Struthio camelus: one gene and its partner. The protein of the gene in region 1 purifies or fractionates together with the protein of each later gene. This does not show direct contact. Links are inferred from orthologs where the notes say so. Each region holds a gene or a part of one and is shown on either strand. Other genes may lie near its edges.

The links. Proteins that work in one complex are often made in the same cells at the same time.
Region 2: the proteins of PCNA (region 1) and DCLRE1A purify together in Homo sapiens (affinity purification with western blotting; 3 studies listed by BioGRID and IntAct, with this or other methods). This does not show direct contact. The link is inferred for Struthio camelus from reciprocal best matches to the Homo sapiens genes PCNA and DCLRE1A.

What each region holds. Positions count from the first base shown.
Region 1 is NC_090968.1:2,625,681-2,633,038, forward strand, and holds the start of PCNA (proliferating cell nuclear antigen), read right to left. Parts: upstream 3,104-7,358; 5' UTR 2,750-3,103; coding exon 2,529-2,749; intron 1,679-2,528; coding exon 1,581-1,678; intron 1,315-1,580; coding exon 1,247-1,314; intron 1,170-1,246; coding exon 975-1,169; intron 641-974; coding exon 517-640; intron 403-516; coding exon 320-402; 3' UTR 1-319. Other genes in the region: CDS2 (phosphatidate cytidylyltransferase 2), read left to right, coding at 3,403-3,471. UniProt on the Homo sapiens protein: Auxiliary protein of DNA polymerase delta and epsilon, is involved in the control of eukaryotic DNA replication by increasing the polymerase's processibility during elongation of the leading strand.
Region 2 is NC_090948.1:10,463,441-10,470,722, reverse strand, and holds the start of DCLRE1A (DNA cross-link repair 1A protein), read right to left. Parts: upstream 3,024-7,282; 5' UTR 2,406-3,023; coding exon 1,982-2,405; intron 127-1,981; coding exon 1-126. Other genes in the region: NHLRC2 (NHL repeat-containing protein 2), read left to right, coding at 3,431-3,596, 5,845-5,997. UniProt on the Homo sapiens protein: May be required for DNA interstrand cross-link repair. Also required for checkpoint mediated cell cycle arrest in early prophase in response to mitotic spindle poisons.

The DNA of each region.
Region 1 (7,358 bases):
GCAACATCATATTTACTCAAGTTAAATATTGCACTCCTTCTCTAACACAAATCAAAAGGAGTAGAAGACTTTAACTAAAGACAGCATATAAAGACTATTGGAGGAACAGGAATAATCTAGAAGAGCAAAAATTCCTATTTTGAATGACACCAGTATAGCAAAACAGTAAGCTGAAAAATATTTACAAAAGTATCTACAAAACAGGCCTAACAGTGCTCATTTGACGGTCCAATGTACTGAAACTGCTGAACTGTGCGGACAATTTCCTTCACAAAGTCAGTTGTCTTCTCCAAAGAGCTGAGCAGATCTCCCAGCCCAATTAAGAACCTTCTTGTTGATCTTCAATCTTTGGAGCCAGATAGTATTTTAAGTGTCCCATGTCAGCAATCTTGTACTCCACAACTGGAAAAAATATTCAGAAAATAGTTCAGAAAAAGCCAATCAAGCCCTCTTAACATAGTTCTAAGAGGACAGTGCTCTACAGGGTTACTTCCCAGAAGAGCTGCTTCTACTTACCAAGAGGAACATCTGCAGACATGCTGAGTGTGACTGTAGGTGACAGTGGAGTGGCTTTGGTAAAAAAGTTCAAATACCTCAAAGCAAAGGTTAATTGGACAGGCTCATTCATCTCTATTGTAACCTAGGAGAACATCAGCCAGGTTAGAGTTCAATTAACACAAGCCACAAGCTCCCCCAAGTTTGTCAAATAAATCAGTGTCACAGACCTAGACACCTCAGGCAAAGGCAGAGAACAGCCAGCACTATTCCCCACTCTGTTCTGCTTAGCACTGCACGGCAGACCCCAGGGCTAAGGGGCCAAAGTTGGCAGTGATTTGTTGACTCGCTTCTACAAAGTGGAGAAAAACAACCCATCTTTATCTACCTGTAGGTGGCCTATGACACTACCATAGAGAGTAAGTTACTAGCAGAAACCTTAACCCTGAGAACAACAGCTAGCCATCAACACAACTTACAGCTTCTTCCTCTTTATCCACATTACTGGTCTGTGACAGTTTGATGTTCCCATTTCCTAGCTCTCCATTAGCTGAAAACTTCACACCATCTTTGGCACAAGAGATGACAACTGCATCTCCAATGTGGCTGAGATCTCTGCAGATGCGTGCAAACTCAGCAGAAGGCATCTTCACTACACAACTGTATTCTTGCTCCTGCAAAGGAAGTGTCACAATTAAACTTCTACCAAGAAGCTTGATGTAGTCACTACACTTCAGTTGTCGCTACTTACTGGAATTCCAAGTTGCTCCACATCCAGATCCATTAGCTTCATCTCATAGTCAGACACTTTTTCCTGATCTAAAACAAACAAAGCTTAGTCCGACAAAGTGTTTAAAAAAGCCATCATCCTCAATTTAAGTTCTACCCAAAATTTTTTCCGGAGTAAAAACACCTCAGTTAGGATAACGGGATCCATCTTGTTTAGTCCCATTTTTGAGAGCCTTCCAGCTTCTGAAGTATTTCTTCTTGGCCCCACCACCCAGACACAGGAAGATCACCACATACTTAGGAAGATCACCTAAAAACATCACAGGAGCAAATTATTTACTAAACATAACACTTACTTGGTGCTTCAAACACTAGAGCCAGTGTGTCTGCATTGTCTTCTGCTCTGAGTGTTATTATGTCTTCGTTTCCAGCACATTTCAGTATTTTTGACATGCTAGGGGAACGAAAACTAGATCGTAAAAGGTCCCAGCCTGATAGGGCAAAAATATGGGCTCACTACTCTATAGTGTTAAAAGTCGTCTAAGAAACAACCACTAGCCTCCAGTGCAACACCTGACACAATCCTGTATTATGATTTCTATGCAGTCCTTTACTCCCTTCTGCGGGCACAAAACCCTCACCTTTAGCACCTGCAGCACACCCCACAAGTTCAGAAGGGCAGTGAACCCTTTAGATGACAGCCAAGTGCCAGGAAGGCAGCACATGCTGCTGCGCACCTCGGCCTGGGAGGCCAGACCCCCCCCCCCCCGCTTCCAGCCACCCTGACGGCTAACAAGAGCCGAGCTCAGGCTTGTCCCCCGCTGCCTCCCTGTCTCTTGGGACGGAGGGGACGCAGGGCCACCCGGGGAGACGCCATGGCGGGCAGGGCCCTGCCAGGCCCCTTCCCCGCCCGGCTTTCCCGCCACGGCGCGCCGGCAGTGACGTCACCGCCGCCGCCAGGCCCCGCGCGCGCGGCGAAAAACGGCGCCAGCGTTCTGTGGAGAATGGGGGAGGGGCGGCGGCTGCTCCCCTCAGCGCCGAGCCCGCCCCCCCGCCCCCACCAACGGGCCCTAACGGCTGCTCCCCTCAGCGCCGAGCCCGCCCCCCCGCCCCCACCAACGGGCCCTAACGGCTGCTCCCCTCAGCGCCGAGCCCGCCCCCCCGCCCCCACCAACGGGCCCTAACGGCTGCTCCCCTCAGCGCCGAGCCCCCCCGCCCCCCCGCCCCCACCAACGGGCCCTAACGGCTGCTCCCCTCAGCGCCGAGCCCGTCCCCAGTCTCCGACAGGCCGCGGCCGCCGCTACCTGGCGAGGTTGACGCCCATGGCGATGTTGCGGTCGCAGCGGTAGGTGTCGAAGCCCTCGGAGCGCAGCGTGAGCTGCACCAGGGAGACGTGCGAGGAGTCCATGCTCTGCAGGCTGATGCCGCCCGAGCCCAGGTCCCAGCAGGCCTCGGTGATGAGGTCCTTGAGTGCCTCCAGCACCCGCTTGAGCACCGAGCCCTGCACCAGCCGCGCCTCGAACATCCTCGCAGCGGCAGCGACCGACGAGGCCCGCCCGCACGCACAAACAGAAAAGGTAAGCGGCCGCCAAAGGCCGCAGCCCGCCAAACGCCGCTTTTATACCCTGCCCCCCCGCCCCGCCCACCTCCGGGGCGGCGCCAATCGCGACCCGCGCTCCCTGCAGCGAGGCCCGATCCACGCTCACGTCACGCGCTGCCCCGCCCCCTTCCCCCCACCCCGACTCCGGCTAATCCCGGCGCCGCTCCTCCCCTTAGTCCCGCTGCCCCGGCGAGAGCCAATCAACGCGCGCGTTACACACACACGCACATAGAACGCGAGGCGCCAGGGTCCGTCTGCCGTCACCGGGCACCACCCATCATGGCGGCGCGCGGCGGAGCGGCGCGCACATCCGGGTACACCTGGGCGGAGCCGAGGAGGAGGGAGGGTGATGGGCGGGGCCTAGAAGCCACACCCACCCACCCCTCGGGCGGGCGGGCCGTCCCGCGGCGGCGATTGGCTGAGCGCGCCTTGCGCTCGCCCGCCCCCTGGCGGCCGCGGCCGGGCGCAGCGGCGGCAGCAGCGGCGGTAGCGGCAGCGGCGGCGGCGGCAGCAGCGGCGGCGGCGGCGGCGGGGGGGAGTCGGGCGCGGAGCGGCGCGGAGCGGAGCCCGGCGCCGGCATGAGCGAGCTGCGGCAGCGGCTCGGCCGCCAGCCCGGCGCGGCGCCGCCGCCGGAGCCCGAGGAAAAGGTGGGGGACGGCGGGGAGGGGCGGCGGGGCCTGGGCCGCGGAGAGCGCTGCGGGGCTGCGTGTGCGCGGCGGAGCCTTCCTCCCCCTCCTCCTCCTCCTCCTCCTGCTGCCGAGCCGCGGATGCTTCCCAGCGCGGAGATCCGGGCGGGTTTTTGGGGCGGGGAACCCCGAGGGGACGCGGGATTTCCGAGTTATAACATATAACCCTTGGCAAAATACACCCCGCGGCGGGCCAGACGTCGCGGCACCGAGACCTCGGACGCTTCGAGGCCGTTTTCACGCTTGCGTTTCTCCTCGGAATAACCCCCGGGAAGGAAACCCCGCTCTCGCTTTCCTGGAGCGCCTGCCTTCCTTGCGGCCCCAGCGCGGCGCGATGCTCCCGCTCCGAACCCCGCGCTCGGCCGCCGCTCCGCCAGCCCTCGCTGCGCCCTAAGGGCCGGGGAGAAGCAGCCACTGAGCTGTCAAGGAGAGAGCAGAAGTCTCTCTGGGCAAATAACAACCCTAGGAAGCGTGGCAACACCTGGAAGGGAGACCGCGCTCCTTCGCTGCGTTCGCGCCTTAGCGTGCGCGTTTTTTTGGCCGCCCCGTTTGCCCTTAGCCGGCCCTCGGGAGCGTCGTGTTGGTGGCGTTCCCTCCTCCGCCGAGCGCGCTCTGCGCCCGGCCGTGAGATAATCCTTCAGAAACCTCTTTCGCGGTTTAACGTCCTGAGAGGACGGGAGCTGGAAAGCGCTGACGGCGTTGCGAGCGGGTTGCCTCGGTGCCCGTCTGAAGTTTCTGCCTTGTGCGTGGTTGGCGCGAAGCGGGCTGGCTGCGGGGCGGATTTGGCCGACCTCGATCGGAGCGGCAGTCAGAGCGCTCTTTTTTGTCGCGGCGCTGCGTAGAGCAAAACCGTTATCCTCTAGATAGTTGCGTTTGCCAAGCCGCGGTCTTGCTTTAGCTGCTCGTGCTGTGTTGCTAAAGCAGGTCAGAGGGCCGCTAGTTTGACCGCGATCTTGTTATCTCCGTGCTGTGCTTTTTTTTTTTTTTTTTTTAAACATATAATGGGCCTTCTAAAGGGCTCCTCCTCTTTTTTCTTTCCTCCCCTGAGATCAAGCCTAACATCGGTAGAAAGCCAACCGGCCGCAAAACGGCTCTTCTCATACTATTTATCGGTGGTCTTAGCCTGTCCGGGGCGCCGTGCAGTTATCGCTGTCGAGCGGGGAGATGCCCACGGCCGCTGCGTCGTTCGGTTAGCCTCGCCGGGAAGAACGATTTAGCGAGAGGTATTATATTCTGCAGAAACAGCTGTGGCTTTTTGCAAAGAGCTTTTGGTGTATTAAAGGAAACAAGTGAAAATGAGTTGTAAGCCTCAAGGCTGTTTTTAAGATCGGACCCGGAAAGTCGTAAGCTGGGTTGCTTTGTGCTTGTTTCCACTTTGCTCTGTTTTGACGGTGGAAAGAGAGAGGCTGGTTTCACTTTCAGGTCCTGTAACCCTTGCACGATATCACAGCTTTGACCGTTTCCTCTCCGTTGGCACCAGGCGGTGTTTACAGCCGACACCGCGCTCATTCAATGGAGACCCTTGGGCAAGAACCTTTTAAAATGGACTTTTGTCAAGCTGTCCTGCAGCACAGTCTTCTTCCCGAAAGGCATAAGGCAGCATCTTCTTACTCCTTTAGGAGCGAACTCCATCAGGTCTCTCTGGTTAAAAGACAGGAGGAGAACTTGAACTGCTGTTTTTTGTGCGTGGTGCCTGTTTTCTCTTCGCCCGAAGGACTTAAATGCTCTTAGCTGCTGCTGCTGCTGAGATTAGATGGTTGGAACAAACTCTAGTTTCTTGTTACCATGCAGCTGCTGTTCTCCCTCGCGTCTCGTAGACGCTGCGTTTTACTTGATAGGCTCATTCGTCATGTAAAACTGGAGACAAGAGATACGATCGCTCGTGTTGTAGGCATCCCGGTGAATCCCGTTTTCTCTTCCAGCTTCCAAAGAGAGTAGTAAAGGTGCCAAAAATATATATTTCACAGTATGTGCAGAGCTCCTGAACGCTTCTGCTGTTTTAATGGGATTTTAATGTCATTCTTCAGTAGTGGTTTGTGCTGCCTGTGATTCGACAGCGAGGGCAGCGGTTTTTTCCCCCTTTTCTGGCCTTTTGCTGGAACGTTGCACTGGTTCGGAAATCGGTGGGGGACATCTCAGGGGCTGGCCTTGCGGAAGGGGAGGAGGGCAAGTCTATTTAGGGGCAGGCTTATCTGGGCTGGAGATCACACCAACGGGCAGGCGTCACTCGGGGCTTTGTTTACCCCCTTCTTTGTCACTGGCCCTCAGTGCCTTGGTGGAAAATACTGTCCCCGGCAGGAGAGGCAGCAGCTGCAAGGGCAAAGGGAAGCGGTCCTCCACGCAGCAGCCGCGCTCTGCGGCGTCCCCGCGCCACGGGCCGGGCAGGCGAATTTTTTCCACGGTGCCGCGTTCGGCGTCTCGTCGCACCTGCAGCAGATGCTAAGTAAACGCCAGGTATTTGAGCACTAGCGCTGACCGCTTCAGGTCTGCTTGGGAGGGTCAAGGGCTGGTGCGAAGGGTTGCCTGGCCCGTGCCGAAGAAAAGGAAGGAGCAGTTAAGGCTGCTGTTTGGCTAGGGAGAGAGAGCGGGGCATGGATGCGATGCCTCTCTCCGTCTAGTGCATGGTTAAGAGAGGCAGAATTACAAGCCCTCTTTCAGACCTGCCCCAAAGGCTCCTTTTTTACAGCTCTTAAAATTATTTTAGACTTGATCCTGAGCATCAGTTTGCTTGGCTTCTGCTGAAGAGTGAGCCTCATTTATTCTTCACGGATGCAATCTCAGGTCTGATTTCGGTCGTCCTCGCTGCTTAACGCTCAGCTTTATGCGCGGCTGCCGAGAGGCGTGCCGCGTTATCCGCCACTGTTAATTGTGGCAAGGAGAGACGGGACTGATTGCACTTCTAATGGAGCTCGTTATAACCGACGGTCAACGGTTACTACCTTCCCCAGCTCCTGGCCTGCCCTGGAGCCAATGCAAGAGGCACAGACTGCTTGTGATGTCCTTCAGACAGCGGCCCACTACTCCCTTCTGCCAATGGCACGCGTCCTCCTCCGAACTGCCCGTTTCCTGGCTCGTTTGTGGCGATGCACCCTGGGACAGAGTGCACCCTCAGCAAGTTTGCTGATGATACTAGACTGGGAGGAGTGGCTGACACAGCAGAAGACTGTGCTGCCATTCAGAGGGACGTGGACAGGCTGGAGAGCTGGGTGGAGAGGAACCTCCTGAAGTTCAACAAAGGCAAGTGCAAGGTCCTGCACCTAGGCAGGAATAACTCCAGGCACCAGGACAGGCTGGGGGCTGACCTGCTGGAAAGTAGCTCTGCCGAGAAGGACCTGGGAGTGCTGGTGGACAACAAGTTAAACATGAGCCAGCAGTGTGCCCTTGTGGCCAAGAAGGCCAATGGTATGCTGGGGTGCATTAGGCAGAGTGTTGCCAGCAGGTCGAGGGAAGTGATCCTGTGCCTCTGCTCAGCCCTGGTGAGGCCTCACCTGGAGTACTGTGTCCAGTTCTGGGCTCCCCAGGACAAGAGAGACATGGCACTGCTGGAGAGAGTCCAGCGGAGGGCTACCAAGATGATTAGAGGGCTGGAGCACCTCTCCTAGGAAGAAAGACTGCGAGAGCTGGGCCTGTTCAGCCTGGAGAAGAGAAGACTGAGAGGGGATCTCATCAACGTGTACCAGTATCTGAAGGGGGAGTGTCAAGAGGATGAGGCCAGCCTCTTCTCCGTGGTGCCCAGCAACAGGACAAGAGGCAACGGGCAGAAACTGAACCACAGGAAGTTCCACCTGAACCTGAGAAAAAACTTCTTCACTGTGAGGGTGACAGAGCATTGGAACAGGTTCCCCAGA
Region 2 (7,282 bases), on another chromosome or scaffold:
TCTCTGAAGTATATATTGAAGAGTTTACAAGATAATCTCCTGCCCTGCTTGCTGCAAGTAGAAAATGGGTATAGCGCTTGTAGTGGGATGGAATGGTGGAAGTGCACAGCAAGCCATCAGGACACTCTGTGAAAAGTTAAGCAGAGAAGCACTGTTAATACCGTTGCAAAGATATTCACTTGGCATAGATATTAAAATAAAAATTATATACGACGTTTCATTTAAAACTTTTTCTTATACATGCAGTCATTAGAGGATAGAAGGCACATCTACAAAATAATTTGCAATAAGCTAAGAGCTCCTGCCCTAAGGTGGCTAGAAGTAAGACTGCTTCCAACAGTGTTGTCTGTGTAAACAAAACACTAAGTGTGAACTAACACACCCATCTAACAAGAAGGGTATGTTAGCTTGTTCCAGTGTGCTAGCATAGTTATACAGCCTCTAGTTGAGAGCAACCTCATGTGCAAGCAATGAGCTCAGAGCAGTAGCACTGCAAATGTCAAAATAAACCAAATCTACGTTCTGAATCAACTTGCAATTCCATTTCAAAGTTGTCTGTTGGGTTACACATTAAATACATAAAATAAGATTTAAAAAGTAATTACTTCTGTACAAAAAGCATTCAGGATTCAGATGCCAAGAACAGTTCAATGTTGTTCCTTAAGACTTTTTTGTTGATAGTTTGCTGGCTTAATTTTTGAGAATTTAAAGGTGAATGCCCAGAAGAAATCAATCAGACAGATTTTTCACTCCCGCTTTCATACGGGAGTAGGAGATGAAAATGAGATGTTAACATCTGCCTTAAGTCAAGGCCACCAGCAAACTCAGGATTAAGAACTCACATTTCATTGTTCTGAAGGCGAAGCCTCAGGAAAAGTCAGATAGATATGAAAAGGATCGTATTAATTAAAACAGCAGCCTTTACTTCAAGTTTTTTGACTGTATGCTGTTTTTCAAAAGGTATGAGGTGTATTAACAACGTAAGTTGGATACCTGGACCTGTCCAGATACGTGTAAATACATGGCATTGCCTAACATAAAACTAGCAATCGGAACAGTTCAGTGTTTATTTCTCCTGTGAGCTCAAAAAACGTGTAACATTCTATGGTCATGCCTTCACGTGGCAGACAAGTATCACGGGCACAAACATAGGAATGTTCACGTATACTTCTGCACAAAACTTCTAAAATATACTGAACCAAGGGCTAACGTTTCAAGTACGTTAGCCCAACAGACTGATTTCAGCTTGCAACTGTCCATAGGCAACTGGACAAATCACACAGCAATGTAGGTATGCAATAACAGAATTCACAAATAAGGAGAAATAAGTTCTGTGTCCAAAGTAGCAGTCTCTTAACCAAAGGAGGCTTCTTCTGAATCTTGACTGAATAACTGAAACAGGCCACAGAATCACAGAATGGTTGAGGTTGGAAGGCACCTCTGGAGATCATCTAGTTCAACCCCCCCTGCTCAAGCAAGGTAGCTAGCACACATTACCCAGGACTGTGTCCAGACAGCTTTTGAATATCTCCAGAGAAGGAGATTCCACAACCTCTCTGGGCAAACTCTTCCAGTGCTCAGTCACCCTCCCTGTAAAGACGTTTCTCCTCAAAAAAAGTAGACCAGGTCCATTTTTTTTAAAAGGTAAATACGCACTACGCTGAATGCCTTCTATTTCTTAATTACAGCCCATGAAAGGGGAGTTTGAAGAACAACCATGAATCTTTATCAATACTACACAAAGTTTTGAGATAACATTATTAGATTATTATTTTTGTATCAGTTCAATGTTCTTTATAAAGAATCCAAATTCTGATATGAATACAATGTTGATAAATTATCAGTAACAACATTCTAAAAGTCATACCAACTGTCATCTCAGATTTTGAACTAAATATGAAAACCAGAGTTTACAGTAACATTATGTCACGTGTCTTTAACATCTTTTTTTTAAAGACTCTTTTTCTTACGCTACTCATACCTTTTTCCATAGATCCTGGAGTATCCAAACATTCAGCAACATGCCACCGAGGTGTCTGGACTAACAGTAAAGAGAAAGGCATCTGACAGCTTGGACAGTATCCATCACGAACCAGCTTTGCATTTTCTGAGCTTTGCTCTGTCGGGCTACTAACACTTTCCTGGGACTGCACGATAGTATCGTCTCTACTTTGATCTAGATCCTGATCTGGTCTTGATTTCTGCTTGCTTTTCTTAACAGTATCACTTTTTTCCACTGATTTTCTTTTATTTCCATTTCCCTTTCTTTTTGGCTTGCACTTGTCATTACTTATTTTCTGCACGGGTGTAGAGATGCTCTCCGAATTAACCTGATGCACCAACTTTTGTTTCCTAATGGATTTGTACTCCCAAATGTCCTCTTCCAATAAAGCATCTTCAGACATGGCAACACACGAAATATTTTCCTTGCTCTTAAGCAGCAGTTCACTAGTCTAGTTTTCCTTCTGTTAATAAGTTTTCTCTCTCCCCCCCCCTCCACTAGCTGAAGAAAAGCACTTGAACTCCATTTAAAAAAAAAAAGACCGGGCCACAAACCAAACAGCAGCCCCTGGGGAGATAGAAGCATGGTGGCTCCTACCCTAAAAATAATTTAAGGAGTGTCTCTCTGAATAGTCGTAACCACAGCGGCTAAACGAAACCCGAGGCTGTAAGATGCAGAAGTACTTGCAGAGCGCGCCATTTCCTTCAGTTATTCCACTTGCAAGCACCTAACCCGGCCTCGCTAAGTGAAAAGCCCAGCTGCGCCCGCGCCCCGGCTGCCACCTCGCTGGCCCGAGGCGAGGAGGTTTTTGAAAGAAAACAACCCAGATTTCAGCTCCGGAGCCGCTGCCAGGAGGCACCACACGCCGAAGGCCGACACGGGCGCAGCGCGGCCGGGAGGTGCCGCCGCCGCCGCCGCTGCTGCCGGGCCCCGCGCCTCGCAGACCCCGCCGCCGCCGCTGCATTCGCCGCCGCAGCTTCGTCACTTGCGGCCGCCTCTCAACTTTCCGGGTCTTCCGTAGCTTCCAAAAGAAAAAAGGAAAACTCCGTTTAATTAAAGGAGCCGTGCTGGGACTGTGTCCCTAGCCCCCCCAGTTTTCAGGTTTATTCCACTTAAAAATAAATAAGTCACTAGGCGGGAAAAAAGGCTGTGCTGAATCTGCTGAGCTGAAATCACCACTAGGGATTTTCTTCACGAATATGCTACCGAGAATATCAGAGCTATGAAAAAACACAAATTTAATTAGAAGCGGCCTCTCTTTAAAACACACGATTTTTTTCGTGTTTGTACTTAGGGGATTTTTTTTTTCAATTGCGCCTTCGTTTTTCTCGTGTCGCCCGCGGGAGCTGTCGAATATGGGAAGGGGAAAAGGCAGGCCAGTAAACAGCGGCCCTGCCCCGGCGCGGCCGGGCTGGCCCAGGAGGCGCCATGGCGGCGGCGGGGGGCCTGGCGGCGCTCCTGCCCGCCCAGACCCAGCTGGAGTACGCCTTGCTGGACGCCGACACCCCCCAGGAGAAGGAGAACTTGGTCTACCAGTACCTGAAGAAGATGGACAGCCGGGAGCGGGACCTAGCGTTGCCCGAGCTCGGCAGAGGTGGGTGGCGGGGCCCGAGCGGGTCAGGCCGGCCTCCCCCCCAAGGGAGCGGAGCGGAGCGGAGCTGCTCGGGGCCGCGGGCGGCGGCAGCTGGGCCCCCCTCCCGCGGGGCCGAGCCCTGGCTCCCGCCCTCCGGGGTGTGGTGTCTTCCTTGAAGCCCTGCTGCCCGAGGGGGTGTGTAATTACAGCCCCGTTAGTTTAAGGCCTCGCTAACTGTCTTTTTTTTTTTTTTTCCGAAAAAGAAAGTATTCGTCTTAGCTGCGAGAAATATGACTCCAGAAAGTATCATCAGGAAAAGACAAGTGCAAAGAATTCCTCTGTAAACGCTTTGTTAGTGTTTGTAAAAATATATTCTTTAAAATTTCTCTCCTAAACTTCTGATACGTAGCTTCAGTATTTAACTGTTCTTAATAAAACATTTCTCTGCAATATATGGATATCTGCCCTCGGCCAGTCAGTGGTCTCGCCTTACTCGTTCTGTCAGCTTCCTCTTGAGCTCTGTTGGTTTCACTGCAGCCCCTTGTTTCCCAGCTCTCTCCCCGTGACTTACCTGCACTTGTCAATTTTCATGTTTCTGAAAATACAAACTATGCAGGAGGTTTCATGCTCATTCAGTGGTGTGTCCATTTCCCTTTCGCACATTTCACACATTTCTATATCTCTTTTTACACTCAGCATGAATCAAGGGTTAAGTCTTGTAAGATCTTGTAAGTCCTGCTCGGAGTCCTGGTCACCTCATGAGACACTCTGGAACTATGAGAGCTCATGAAAGGAGTTTGCAAGATGAAGACCTAAAAAGATAAATGTCAGGGTTAAAATCACATACGTATCATGGGACTGAATTCTGATTTCTAACCCATCAAGTAAAGTGAATACTCTTTCTCTCTGCATTTGGATTCCTGAATTGAACTTTCACTTTTGTGATTAGTGTCATTTCACCTTTTATAGTCTTTCAAAGCTAATGTTCTCTTCTGAAAAGCAGCTCAAATAAATAGTAAACATTTTTCATTTACAGCATATTTTGATATAAGATGCTTTAGTGAAAAAGGGAGCAGTACCATTAAATAAATAAATAACATACTCTTTTAAAAAGGAAACATTTATGAAGTTTATGCATGATTTCCTCAGTGTACAGGCAGGGTTTTACTAAGGGTTTACTAAGTCTTATTATTGTCGCCAAAACAATGACTGTGTGTTCATCCATTTATGTTTATATGTGTGTAAGTAGTGAGTAGCCCTTCTCTTAGTGAAGCAGAAAACAATCCTCCTGCTGACTTGAGTAGCAGTAACTTGTTCTGGGGATGTGGGAAATAAAAACATAGTTTGCTGAAACTGTGGAATTTTTGGATATTTTTAGGTTATCAAAGCACGCGTGTACATTTTTTTAAAAGTAGTCCTTTAAAAATTTGTATTTTTCCCATTATTTTAAGAAATGTTCGGTGATAATAAGGGCCAAACATATTGTAGGTTTTTTATTTCCTACCTTGATATCAGTTTCCTATGGGATCAGAGGATTATTAGTTGCCTCTTTGTGTGTACGTGCATAAAATGAGAAAACACTGCCTTAATGTCTCTTATCGAGTGTTTGAAAATAAATGAGCAGAAGTAGTATAGTATTTCAGGTATATCTGAAAGAGTTTTAGTTCTTGGAAATCAGCATATAACGTCATTAATTTATACCTATCGTTTCAAACTTCTCAAACTCAATATCAAAACGATAAATACAGAAATATTTCAGTAGTCTCCGATATTACTTCTTTACAAAAATGTAAACTCTAAGAGTTTAGCAGGTTTTTATCTGCTTACAAGCATGTACTTGTTGAATTCAAAATAAATAAGTATTACCCATATGATCTTCTTAGGGGTTGGATAATCTAGATCATGCTTTACAATAGATGAAAATTGTTCTAAGGCCTGCATGTGCTTTCCGTTAAAAGGCACCTATTTAAATATATAATCTGCACTTTCAATATTACATGAAATCCTGTTAACTTAATAATTTTTCTTAATATTACTTAATAATTAATACATTTTATTTGCTAATTATGAAAAATGTGGAGCATAAAGGTGAGTTTGATAAATGTAAGACTTTTGGTTTGCCTTCCTATCCGGACAGAAAGTGATACAGAACATTTTTGAAGTGAACTGTACTAGGAATGTTGTCTGTTTTTGTGGAAGTTAAGTATAAAGGAATGCCTTTGCCTACCCCTCCTCCCTAATTTGGATACCTCTTTTCTCTGAATTCCAGATTTACAGTGGCTAAACACTGAAAGTCCTATTTCTCTTCACAAAGACCTTTGTGGAAAAGTGGTGGTGTTGGATTTTTTTACTTACTGCTGCATCAATTGTTTGCACTTACTGCCTGATCTCCATGCCTTAGAGCACCAGTACTCTGATAAAGGTAAAAGTGCTTTGGCTTGCTTAGAACAGAATTTCCTGGCAGTGTTGCAGGTGGAGTAGCTGAGTCATTTTGTTGCTCATTACTAAAAGCTGGCAAAATTTCAGGGGTGCCTAAAAGTGTCTTCTAATCTTTTACGTAACCTAGTAAAGGTGACTGTTTGTAATCCCATCACACTTTCAAATGGGGTTAGATATGGTAGCTATTGCGTCTGTGTAATTAAAGAAACGGGAGGTGTACTTAAAGCCCAAACCTGATCTTCTCATAAATACAGCTATTTGAAAAATGCTGCACAAGGATGTAAGATAGGGGCTCGAAATTAACATTTGTATGTAACCCTCTGGATTTGACTTAGGAACCAACTCTTGAGTAGGACATAGAACAAGCGGTAGAACGGATGTAGATAAGATTACCTTCCCCCCGACCCTGTTCTAACTGAAAAATCAAAACATGTAAACTTGACGTGGGATTGTTTTGGTATTTCCTGCAGCATCACCTTATTTTCCATGAGTGGTTCTCTTTGCTCTGGAGAGAGATTAAAGCACATTAAATGCAGGTCTGTGAAAAAATCTCCATCTCTCTCTGATTGAATAAAAATGCAGGACAGTTACTATTTAGAATTTAATCTCTTGTCATCATGATGACAAGAGGCAGAGGTAAGCTTTATTCTTACGCAGTGTTGCAGCAGCCACTAACTTACCAAGGATATTTTAAGTTTTAACGCTGAGATGTAAAACAATATCACTTTCAGTCCTCAAATATTTGTATTAAATATAATAGTAAAATAACATTACTTTATAATGCTTAATAAGATTTTGATTCTCCGTTAGCCTTTCTGATTGATTTTCATTTTGCCAGCATTTATTTTCATGTATTGCCTGCTTTCACTGGAAAAAGAAATTACATTTTTCTGTAAGAAATTCCACTGTATGTTGTAAATTTGCACAGTGCTTTACAGAACACTTAACTAGACTGATTTTTCTGCACTGAAAAACTTAGCTTTTTGCTTCAGATTAATTTGAGATCTGCTGTGATGGTTTCAGATATAAGGAACTTTATTCATCTAATGAAAAAAACTGTCTAGCATTTTTGTGGGGAGGGAAGCTGTTTTAAGTGGGGAGGTAGCTGAGTTATAAATTTGGGCTACTCTGAACATCAGATATGCTAGGAAGAAGGTCTAAATTGAGATTTCAAAAGATTACACCAATTATACAATGAATAATGTCTTAAATGATAAACATTTTGTACTATAGTGTTACTGTATTCTGTAATACCCATATGTCTCGCA